3 linked regions of the Callithrix jacchus genome follow. Each later gene encodes a partner of the first gene's protein in a complex. Links are inferred from orthologs where the notes say so. Each region holds a gene or a part of one and is shown in the gene's direction. Other genes may lie near its edges.

The links.
Region 2: the proteins of KCNAB2 (region 1) and KCNA1 are in contact, whole or in part, in a crystal structure (PDB 1EXB), measured with the Rattus norvegicus proteins. The link is inferred for Callithrix jacchus from reciprocal best matches to the Homo sapiens genes KCNAB2 and KCNA1. Residues at the interface, in NP_059000.1 of Rattus norvegicus: Met196, Tyr199, Ser200, Arg203, Glu231, Lys235, Ile236; in NP_775118.1 of Rattus norvegicus: Glu37, Met70, Phe73, Asp74, Pro75, Leu76, Asn78, Tyr80.
Region 3: the proteins of KCNAB2 (region 1) and KCNA2 are in contact, whole or in part, in a crystal structure (PDB 5WIE), measured with the Rattus norvegicus proteins. The link is inferred for Callithrix jacchus from reciprocal best matches to the Homo sapiens genes KCNAB2 and KCNA2. Residues at the interface, in NP_059000.1 of Rattus norvegicus: Met193, Met196, Tyr199, Ser200, Arg203, Glu231, His234, Lys235, Ile236; in NP_037102.1 of Rattus norvegicus: Asp28, Glu33, Pro62, Met66, Phe69, Asp70, Pro71, Leu72, Arg73, Asn74, Tyr76.

The regions. Positions count from the first base shown.
Region 1 is NC_133508.1:43,885,882-43,889,622, forward strand, and holds the start of KCNAB2 (voltage-gated potassium channel subunit beta-2), read left to right. Parts: upstream 1-1,306; 5' UTR 1,307-1,400; intron 1,401-1,865; exon of another isoform or gene 1,866-1,933; intron 1,934-1,983; exon of another isoform or gene 1,984-2,105; coding exon of another isoform or gene 2,106-2,222; exon of another isoform or gene 2,223-2,357; intron 2,358-3,741.
Region 2 is NC_133510.1:18,519,212-18,522,952, forward strand, and holds the start of KCNA1 (potassium voltage-gated channel subfamily A member 1), read left to right. Parts: upstream 1-903; 5' UTR 904-1,472; intron 1,473-1,839; 5' UTR 1,840-2,377; coding exon 2,378-3,741. UniProt on the Homo sapiens protein: Voltage-gated potassium channel that mediates transmembrane potassium transport in excitable membranes, primarily in the brain and the central nervous system, but also in the kidney.
Region 3 is NC_133508.1:148,471,522-148,475,262, reverse strand, and holds the start of KCNA2 (potassium voltage-gated channel subfamily A member 2), read left to right. Parts: upstream 1-1,229; 5' UTR 1,230-1,354; intron 1,355-1,464; exon of another isoform or gene 1,465-1,918; intron 1,919-2,049; exon of another isoform or gene 2,050-3,197; intron 3,198-3,705; 5' UTR 3,706-3,741. UniProt on the Homo sapiens protein: Voltage-gated potassium channel that mediates transmembrane potassium transport in excitable membranes, primarily in the brain and the central nervous system, but also in the cardiovascular system.

The DNA.
Region 1 (3,741 bases):
AGGACACAAATTAGCACACACAAAAAAGACAGTAACCTATGGAAACTGCACAGGGGAGCTGCAACGAACAGAGCCCTAAGTCAGAACCAGGTGACGCTACCCACGGTCATCAGAAACGCTCTCTTTTTGCCAACTGCACACACGTGAGAGGCTGGATTTCCTTCGCAGACGTCCACCAAAGCCACACATGGCGACATATGGAGACAAAAAGCAGCGGTCACCTAAGAAGACAGACATGAGGAATCTCGGGCAGCAGGGGGGCCTGCACGTGTGGGGAAGGGCACGCGGGAGCGGGTGTCGTGTTCCGGGTCCGGTCGGCCGGGAGATCCCAGGGCAGGAAGGGGGCGCGGAAGGCCGAGGTGGCCCCGGACAGAAGAGAGCCTCGCGGGCACGCCCGAGGGCCGCAGAGCAACAGCCGGGTACAGCAGGAGGGAAACGGAGGCGAAGGTGGGGTCCGCGGGCTCCGGCCGGGGAAGGATGTACGCAGACCCAAGAACCAGGTCAGCGGCACCACAGTTCCTTCAGCCGAAGGGCTGCAGAGGGGGCAGGAGGCAGGGGGCAGGGGGCAAAGGGCAGGGGCAGAGGGGGAATCCACGTAGCCCAACTGCAACCGGCGGCCCGGGCCGCACCAAGTGTCCCGACGAGGGGGGAAGCCTGCGACTGACGCGGGGACAGGCCTCGCCGAGCGCCGCCGCCAGACTCCAGGCACCCGGCCCCCACACAGAACGGCACGGACCATCCTACCCCAGAACCCCGAGGCTCCGGCAGACACTGCAGCCCGGTGCGCCTCGAGGCCGCGTCCAACCTCCCCCGTGGCGTTGGCCCACATGGTTCCGCCCGCCGCGGGCCGCGTTACCTAAGAGACCGGCCCGCCGCGGCCACGCCGGAGGCCGCGGAACCCACGCTTTTGAGAGAGTCCCCAGTCGACAGACCCAAAGGCCCGGCAGCCGGTGCTCAACGCAGCCGGAGGCCTTAAGGACCGAAAACTGGCCGAGGGGCGCGCCCCGTCCGCTGCCACCCGCGGGAGGAGCCTTGGAAGGCTGCGCGCGCCGCGCACTTCAGGCCGAAAACCCGCCTCGCGTCACTTTTGCCGTCAGGGCCGCGGAGCCAATCAGAGCCCAAGTCTAGGGCTAGACTTCGCGAGCGCCAGCCAATCGGTGCGGCGGCGGGCCCGTCCTGATTTGCATGTCCGGCGACCCTGCAACCAATGGTAATGTGACTGGCGTGAACAGCAGCCAATTCGAAGCTGGAAGAGGCGTGGCCCCGGGCGTCCCACGAGGTGAAGATGCTGCTGGCGGAACCTGCCGGAGCGAGCGGGATTCGGGGGCGCTAAAGTCGCAGGGGCAGGGCGGGAAGGAAGATCCGGCGTGGGGCTCAGGATCCGGAGCTGGAGCCCCCAGGTGAGTACGGGGGAGACCCCGGCGGGGCGCGCTTTCCCCCGACCTGCGCCGGGACGGCGGCAGCGGGCACCCACGAGGCTCGCGCTGCGGCAGGCGCCGCGGTGCCGTCTCCATCTCCTCTTCCCCGGCCCTGCGTCCCTGCCTCCGCCTCCATCTCACCTCCTCCTCAGCCTCCTCACCTCCTTCTCCGTCGTCTCCCTTCCCCCATTCCTTCCTCCCTTTCCTTCGCGGTCCTCCCGCCCGACCCTTCAGCTCGCATCCCAGACCCCTGCCCCTGCCGCCGTCCCTCTCCTTCACCCCGGTGCACCTCTTCCCCGTCTCGGCCCGCTCCGGTCCCCGCAGCCTCGCCCTCCCCTTCCCTCCTTCCTCCTCCCATCCCCTCTCCCGGCCTTCGCGCAGCCCCACCGGGGCGCTGCTGGTCCCGGTCCTCCCCATCTCTACCCCCGGTTGCTCCTCAAGGCTCACCCATCGTTCTCGCAGCCTGTCCCTGTATCGCTCCGGTCCTTTTCTCCATCGTCCCTCCCTCCCATTCTGCTCCCAGCCCCTCCGACCTCTCCCCGCGGGCACGCTCTCATCACCTTACCTGGCTCCCCAGGACTGTGACCCTGCTTCCTGCACCCGTTCCTCGAGCTGTCTACACCCTTGAGCCCCTACTATCTTAAGCTTCTCCCTCCTGCCAGGCCTTGGCACAAAGCACTTCCCTACCTGCTGCTGCTCCCAGGAGGGATGCAAAGACCCCGCTGCTGCACCACGTCCTGCGGCACTAGCAGTGGCAGCAGTCGGGGTACCTGCCCACTTTCCCACCCCCCCATCCAGGCGCATCCTGGCGTTGCTCCTCCTGCCATTTGTCCTGGGGCCTCCTGCAGGGGCTGTGCTTTGCCTGCAGCATCCCAGGGTGCTCCAGGTGGGAAGCCCCTTAACACCCTTCCTCCCTGGCCACCATCTCCCTCCCTCCCCGCCCCCACTTTCCTGCTCAGCCTCACTTTGTGATTCAGCATTTTTGGGGTTGGTAACTTTCTTGCTTCCTGTAGTGATAGGGACCTGGCCACGAAACTGAAGGCAGGGGGTCTTGACCCTGCAGTTAGAGGGCTACCTTAGGAACCGGACCTGAGCTGCCTGGTTGGGAGGGGGCTGAGGAGCTGGGGACAGCCAATGGGGATGGCCTTTTCCTCCCTTTCATTTGTCTGCCCTGTGTTGAACTGTGTCCAAGCGGAGATGGCATAAGTAATAGCTATTGGGGAAATGGACTATTAGCATTTATGGAAATTAATACATCCACATCCGAGGAGCAGGAACACCAAGTTCAGGCCACAGCTGTCCCACTGTCTGTCGCTTCAGGATTTCTTCTTTCTCTGCAACTTCTCCCCCTCAAAAACGCCAGCCTCCTCCCTCCCCTTCCCCCCAGTGCCAAGAGTAAGCTCCTGCTTTGCTAAGGAAGCCGCATTCAGGCCCCGCGTTGCAGGGTTTGGGGACCTATGTGTGAAGAGTCGCATCTGCCCACCTGATTCTTGCCTGGTGGCTCTGTCTCCCCCAGAACCCTGTGCAGCTCCTGGCCCTGTGATTTGACAGTGTGGGGCCGTAAGAATGCACTTGGTCCCCCAGGTCCTGCCATTCTTTCTGGAGACAGCTCTCCAAAGCCACACTCGGCCTCGATGGCACTGACGGTGTTGGGCTGCATGCAGCACATCTCTGCCTGGAAAGCAGCATGGTAGAGGCTTCCCTGTCCATACCCAGGGCCATTTTTTTTCCCTGCGCCAGTCAGCACATGCTTTGTCAGTGCTAATCGGCACCTGGGGACTGAGCCGGGCACTGGGGCTGGTGGTGTCGTAAAAAGTGTGAAACCCTTGTCATGTGTTTCTTGGTTCACAACCATCTTAGTCTGGATACAGAGCTGGATGGGAAGCAGGGTGCACAGAAGCCATCACACCCAGGAGATGGGACATGGGCCACCATGCTAGGGAACTGGAAAGACCGAGGGTGCCACGGGATGGCCAGCTAGAGAAGGCTTGCTCACTTTCTTTCCTTTTTCAGCAATCTTCTAAGACCCAAATGATTCAGGAGGAAGTGAGCGCCACACGGTTTTGATTTGGCAGTTTCCGGCCTGGGCTTGGAGGGAGGGACCTCCCCCAGACCTTCCTGTGTGTTGGTGCTCTGCCATGGTAACATGCTTCCATTTCCAGGGACTCTGGCCAGGAGTGGCATGTGTTTGGTTCTTGGCTAAATTCTCTGTGATTGTCACGTTGTTAGAGTTCCCAGAGAGAATGTTTTTCTGGGGTCCCTGAATAAGGAGGCAGGACAGTGGGCCACTGGGAGCGGTATTCGAGAAGGTTTGATGCCAGAG
Region 2 (3,741 bases), on another chromosome or scaffold:
GCCGCACTCATAGGGCACGGCGCACGCCCCCGGCTCCTGCTGCCATGCGCCTCTGCGGGGGACCCTTTCCGAATAAATTGCAAGCTTTGAAAGTGGCCCAGTGGAGGCACTAGGCTGGGGAAAGAGGCTGCGGGAGGAGGGACAGAGGGTGGGAGGTGAGTAGGCGACTTGCTTCTCAGATTATTCCCAATTAGCACCAAGTTGGCAGACAACCCCACAAACCCACGAGGCCTTTGGTCCCCCACAAGTCACATTCTCTGTATTTCAGAATAATCGGTTCGTAAGAAAACTTCAAGTCCCATCGTAGGTTAAAGAGGGACAGGCTCTTAGCACCGCCGCCGCCCAGTAAAACTACATGGAAAGAACCCGTGGATCCTCAACTGCTGGGCTCTGCCCAAAGTCTGCAGCTCTGCGAGTCCAGCCGGCGGGGGGAGGCTGGGTGGACCCCGCAGAGAGCAAGGGCCTCCTTGAGGAAAGAGCGGGATGGGGCGCAGAGCAGTGCGATCGAAGAGGGTTACTGTGGGACTGCACAAAAGCAAACCCATCGGAGGAGTTTTGCCAGAAACACCACCTCCTGCATTGCGTCGGACCTGACCATTTCCAATGTGAAATTCCCGGGGAAGGTCGCGCGCCGCTAGCGGCAGTGCGTGGGCGGGGCAGGGCGGTGGGTCACAGGGGAAGTAGAGTTAGTGGTCGACTTTTCTGGTAGGAGAGGAAGAAGCTGTGCTGGCGAGGGTGGGAACTGAATGACAACCCCGCTCTCTTGCAAACCACCCCCTCATATTTTCCATCCACCTCCTCGCTCCTGCCCTCCCCCGCCCTCCCCAACCCACGCCCGGGTGGGCCAATCGCTGCTCCGTATTCCAGGCGCTTTCTCAGGTTTCTGCTGATCTTGCAGCGCCCAGAAATGGACAGAGCGGACCCGCCGCCGCAGGCACTCTGCCCGACTCCAAGCTCCTAAGGGCTCCCCGCGCGCCGCGTAGCCTCGGCGAGGTCCTCGCAGGGGTGCAGAGAGCGAAGGGAACTGGAGAGCCATGTAGATCCAGGCTCCTACCCGCCCGCCTCCTTCGGGATCGAATCAAGGGCTCGCATAGTGTTAGGAGGGGGCGAGAGTGCTGTTTATCGTCATTTGCCTCGGAGCTTCGGGAGAGGGTGGTATTTTGCTTTTCCGCCCTGCATCCTCCGGAACTCCCTGCACTGGAGAGAGGACGGCGTCTCCAGGTTGCTGGCAACCAGTGAGAATGGGGGTAGGAAATGAACATTTTCGCCGTTGCTGCTCCGTAACGCGATTGTCCAACTGAGAGGGGCGTCGGACGAGCGGACCAGGGAGGCTAGTTTGCCCGGCGCGTCTCGGATGCTGGCTGTGGTGACCGCCGGGGCTCCCGCCAGGGCACTGCAAAGGCGACCTGCCGCATTCCCAAGCCGGCTCTCCGCGGACGCAGCACCGCCCCTGCGCCAAGCCTGCTGGCCAGGTAGGGGGTTCCCCAGCTCCGGGCCGCAGAAGCGGGGGTTGGGGCGCGGGGTTGGGGAGGCCGGGGGTGTGGGGATGCTGCCCGGGACCCGGAGCTTCCCCCGGTGTCTCTGGGCGCTTTTCCGATCTCTAGTTTAACGAAGTTGTAAACAGATCGGCTGTTGGGCATTGGGGAATGTGGGATGGAAGAGCCCCAAACTTGGATTTCCGGGTGTCTGCGTGTCTGTCTGTCCGTGTGTGTGTGATAACCCTAGCAAACGTCCAGTGCTTTCTCAAGCTAGAGGTCTGTGTTCTTCGGTGTCTGTAGGTCCGTCCCATCGGAATGCTTCTGATTTTCTACCCCCGTATCACTTTCTATTTCTCTGCAGCGTCCATCGATCGCCCTGGTGGGAGCTTAGAAGGCGGCAGGCGAAGAGGGGTAGGAGGGGGGAGAGCCGAGGAGAAGCAGAGAGGGTGGCAGGCGTGGGGATCTGCTGAGCCGGCACTGCACCGGGTCCTAGGAAGGCTCTCGGAGGGGAGGGGAGGCCAGGGCGACCCCCGAAGCGATGGCCCGGTCCGCTAGAACAGCACTGCGTTAAGGCTCCTCGGATCAGTAAAAATTATCTTAAAAAAGAAAGAAAAGAAAAAAGCCAACCCCAACCCAAATCCAACCCTCGGCAAAAAGCTGCACCGGCCAGCAGGCAAGGGGGATTCCAAATTGAGTGAAAAGCAGGGTGGAGGGGAAAGCAGCGCGAGGCGAAGTCGCATATCTCCCGAACTGCTCGCTTTGAATCCCCTCCCCCTGGGCGTGAGGGAGACTCGCACTCCGGTGGGGGGGCCGCTTGGGTCCCCCCCACCTCCGGCTCCTGGCTCTTTCCCACCCCGGGCTCTCTCCTGGCCTCCCACCCCCCGCGCCCGACTTCCACCATGACGGTGATGTCTGGGGAGAACGTGGACGAGGCTTCGGCCGCCCCGGGCCACCCCCAGGATGGCAGCTACCCCCGGCAGGCGGACCACGACGACCATGAGTGCTGCGAGCGCGTGGTTATCAACATCTCCGGGCTGCGCTTCGAGACGCAGCTCAAGACCCTGACGCAGTTCCCCAACACGCTGCTGGGCAACCCTAAGAAACGCATGCGCTACTTCGACCCCCTGAGGAACGAGTACTTCTTCGACCGCAACCGGCCCAGCTTCGACGCCATCCTCTACTACTACCAGTCGGGGGGCCGCCTGCGGAGACCGGTCAACGTGCCCCTGGACATGTTCTCCGAGGAGATCAAGTTTTACGAGTTGGGCGAGGAGGCCATGGAGAAGTTCCGGGAGGACGAGGGCTTCATCAAGGAGGAGGAGCGCCCTCTGCCCGAGAAGGAGTACCAGCGCCAGGTGTGGCTGCTCTTCGAGTACCCAGAGAGCTCGGGGCCCGCCAGGGTCATCGCCATCGTCTCTGTCATGGTCATCCTCATCTCCATCGTCATCTTTTGTCTGGAGACGCTCCCCGAGCTGAAGGATGACAAGGACTTCACGGGCACCGTCCACCGCATCGACAACACCACGGTCATCTACAATTCCAACATCTTCACGGACCCGTTCTTCATTGTGGAAACCCTGTGCATCATCTGGTTCTCCTTCGAGCTGGTGGTGCGCTTCTTTGCCTGCCCCAGCAAGACGGACTTCTTCAAAAACATCATGAACTTCATCGACATTGTGGCCATCATTCCTTATTTCATCACCCTAGGCACCGAGATAGCTGAGCAGGAAGGAAACCAGAAGGGCGAGCAGGCCACGTCGCTGGCCATCCTCAGGGTCATCCGCTTGGTAAGGGTTTTTAGAATCTTCAAGCTCTCCCGCCACTCTAAGGGCCTCCAGATCTTGGGCCAGACCCTCAAAGCTAGTATGAGAGAGCTAGGGCTGCTCATCTTTTTTCTCTTCATCGGGGTCATCCTGTTTTCTAGTGCAGTGTACTTTGCCGAGGCGGAAGAAGCTGAGTCGCACTTCTCCAGTATCCCCGATGCTTTCTGGTGGGCGGTGGTGTCCATGACCACTGTAGGATACGGTGACATGTACCCTGTGACAATTGGAGGCAAGATCGTGGGCTCCTTGTGTGCCATCGCTGGTGTGCTGACAATTGCCCTGCCCGTACCTGTCATTGTGTCCAATTTCAACTATTTCTACCACCGAGAAACTGAGGGGGAAGAGCAGGCTCAGTTGCTCCACGTCAGTTCCCCTAACTTAGCCTCTGACAGTGACCTCAGTCGCCGCAGTTCCTCTACTATGAGCAAGTCTGAGTACAT
Region 3 (3,741 bases), about 100 Mb from region 1:
ACTGCCTCAGTTTCCTTTCCTATGAAATGATACTAATGTATACACTAACTTCCAGAGCTGCGAGGATTAAATGTCACACTGAGTTAGAGGTGCTTAGCACAGGGTCTGACACATGATAAGCCCATGTCACCAATTATGATGATTGATTCTCCACGCCCGCCGCCGCCCCCCACCCACCAGGCTTTTCTCTGTCCACATCTGCTGTTTTAAAGAAGGAAGGCAAAGGAAACATATAGATATGGTCAAATGGATACACAGGACTATCTGACTTTAAATTACATGAGAACCCAGTGTGCCAAGTAGGAGAAACAGAGCCCCTTGGTGCTGCTCAGGGGAGGTTTTCAGAAGAAGTATATAGGGCAGGGAACAGGAGGACAATTTGCTAGATGGGTGGGAATGGCTGAGATCTCAGGGAAAGTGAAGGGTGGGGCAATCTGGGAAGCAGAGGGAATGGGGCAACAATGACCTGGTGATTGGGAGCCTAGAAAAACAGCCCAAAACTATGTTGGAGGCTGAGAGCGAGGAGGAGAGTTTCACAGGGAAGCAGAGCAGAGAAATCTTCATATATTGAATGTCTGCTGAATGCTAAACTCATTCAACAATTAAAACCTCACCGCACCCTTAGGGGCATCCTGATTTTTCAGAGGAGGACAGTGGTGCTCAGGGAAGTGAAATAACTTACCTAGTAACTGTCAGGGATTTAAGTCTCGGTCTGGCTGCCTCCCAAACACCCAAGCCATTCACTGACTAGGACATTAACAGTCCAGGTTAGGGGCTCTTAAACCATACCAGCCCTTCTCTATAGCCATCCGTCATCCTTCAGGCTCATGGAGGTCACTGCCCTCCCAGACCACCCACTGCAGCTCTGGACAGGCTCCCAGTCTTCAACCACACCTCACACACCACCACAATAAAATGCCAGAACCTGGAGTCCGGCCTCACTGGCTCTCCGGGGCTCTCCCCACGAGGTACAAGCAGAAAGAATAGGGTTTCCAGCCAGGGAAGGGCCCAGTGGGGATTTGGTGTTAGAGCCACTCTGAATTCAGAGCTCCGTGTCTACCCCAGTCTGATCTCAAGGAACCACCACTTTTTGGCACACCTGTCTAGGTGACCCTGACAGGGACCTGGACAACAGAACTAGCAGGGGCTTGAGGCTGTCCTATGCCTCCCAAAAGCACCCTGGACCTTCTCGGATGCCCTTTCTAGGCAGAAGGCAGGCTGGGCTTCCCACACACGTTTCCGGAAAGCAAAGGGCATGTTCGTCTGCCCACCCCAGGAAGCTGTAAGCTGCACTCCCAAGTCCAGAGCTCGGTGGGCCGGACGGCTTTGCGAGTTCTGGCAGAGGGCCCGTTATGTGAGTAGCTGACCCTTCCCAAGGGCAGCAGCGTGTCCCCCAGCCTTCCCCGCCGGTGCCCTGGGGGAGGGAGTCCGGGAGTAGAGAGGGCCAGCCCTGCAGTGCTGCCTGTTCCTGCGGCTCCTCTCGGTGAGGGTGAACACAGCACAAGAGTTTCTGCCACACTGCGGACCGCACCTGCTGCGTTTCCCTGCGAAGCCAAATCTTTGCTGGGTAACAGTGGGGTGGGAAGCCGATCTGGAGAAGGGGTCGCGCCGGCGGGAGAAAGGGCAAGAAAGGGGTCTGCAGAGCCTGTCTGGCGGCACCACGGTGATAGCAACACGTCTCCCGCGGGGCCGAATCCCGCCGTGGGCCTGGGATCGCTGCTATTGATGATCTCCTCCTCGCCTACTTTATTACATTGGCAGGAGCCTCTCACCAGCGCTCCTCAACTTCTGCCCTCCCCCATCTCCCGGCCCGGCAGCCCCCAGCTGAGCTCTCCCGGAGCTTCTGGTTAGTAAGCCCGGCTCTGCCAAAGAATGTTTTCCTCGCAGGGCGGGAGCTGAGACCCGGCGGCCCAACGAGGTGACTAGCTTGGTGGCGGCGGCGGGCAGTTCGTCCCCGGCCCCCGCCGGCCCCTTTAATTGGGGTTCGCCGTCGGGCCAGGTGCGGCGCTGCGTGGCGCGGTGCGGCTGCGGGCGGCGGCCGGGCGCTCCGTACGCGCCGCCCGCGGGACTGCAGAGCCGGCTCCCGGCTGGCCGCCCGCACCCCGCCGCCGCCCGCTGCCGGTTCTGCCGGCGCTGGCCACAGCCCGGGAACATGGAGGCCCCGGCGTCCGTCCGGAAGGGTAAATCCGTGTCTGGCGTTGCGCGGCGTTCCCAGCCCGACTGCGGCGCCCAGAGGGGCTGCGGGGCACCCGGCGGCGCAGCCTGCACGCAGCGGGCTCGGGCTGAGTCCCGGGCGGGCGAGCCGTTGCCGACCACTGCCGTCTGCTCGGCAGGTCCCGGACCGGGGAGATCAAGGGGAACTTGCACCCTGCTCAAGAAGAGTGCACAGAATGGGCTCGGGACCCTCTTGGGCGTGCGTGGCGCGGGGCGGAGGGGACAGGGAGGAGCTGTGGGTGGTGGGAAGTGCAGCTGGCAGCACAGCCGTGTCTGGTAAATAGCGCGGGTTGGTAGGACTCGAACCACTTGGGACGGCCGGGCTGCATCCGCCTCTCCGGCACAGAATAACAAACGGCTTTGCTGCAGAGAAGGGCTTTCCCCTCTCTCGCTGGGGCCGTGGGCTGCCGCGAAGCCCCCGCGCTTACGAGGAAGCTGAGATCGGGGGCAGCAGCCTGGCGCAGGCTACTCCTCACGCCCAGAGATCAGGCTCTGGGATTTTTGGGTGGAGACTGAGCCTCGGCGATCCCTCGGCTGGACCCGGGGGGCATGAGAGCTGAGCTGCGCTCGGGCCCGCAGCGGGAGCCGACCGCGCGGGCAGGAGGGGGTTAAGGTGGCGCTAGCGGCGGCGGCCAGCGGGAGGGTCTGGTCCTCGGCGCAGAGGCGAGCAGGGAGCGCGCCGGACGGAATCCCGGCCGGGGCCCGGGGCGATGGGGAGACGGGCCCAGACCCCTCCCCGCCCTGGGGCCGGCGGGATTGGGTCGGCAGGGGGCCAGTCCGGAAGCCTGCTTCCTTCAGGCTCCCCCTCTCGCTGCTGCCAAACCGCCTCGCAGCTAGGCAGGCTGAGCGTTTGTTCTGTGCTCCCTGCTGAGGAGACATGAGGGATTTTCTCTTGAGGGAGAAATCAGTGGTCGAGCGCCTGCCCAGCTCAAATGCCACCCGGCTCAGAGAGAGGCCTGCGGCCCAGGGATCCTGGAGGGAGAGTAAGTTCATCCAGCTTCCGTACAGTGGTGACTTTGTTGTGTGGGGTGTCTCCCTAGATGTGCCCTGAAGGAGTCTGTGTGTGCCGGAGGGTGGGGAGATTCTTTTCCAGGACCGGCTGAGGTCAGAGCTTGTAGACAGGCTGCAGTGAGCTAAGCCCTCCTCTTGGGAGATGCTGTATCCTGACATGTGGGGGTAGGGGTGCTCCTTCCAGAGTCCTTCCTGAGAGCAGCTGGGGACTAGGGACCTGGATCAACCCAGGGAGGCCCCTGGAATAGGCAGGCCCAGCTAAACCTGAGGCTTGCTCCCTGGGAGAAAGAGCTTCAAGCTGATGGGAAGCCTGCACAGAAGAGGCACGGAGGCTGAGGGATAGTCCTCAGGCCTGGCATCAGAATGGAGGGTGGGCATAGGGGCCTGCCACCTTCTATAAGGGAAGCTCCCAGACCCTCCTAAATCTTGGCACCAGCTGCCCAAATGCCCTGGTTCCACCTTGCTGCTGTTTTTTTCCAGGCAACGTCACACCTCCTGAGGACAGCCAGGACTCCA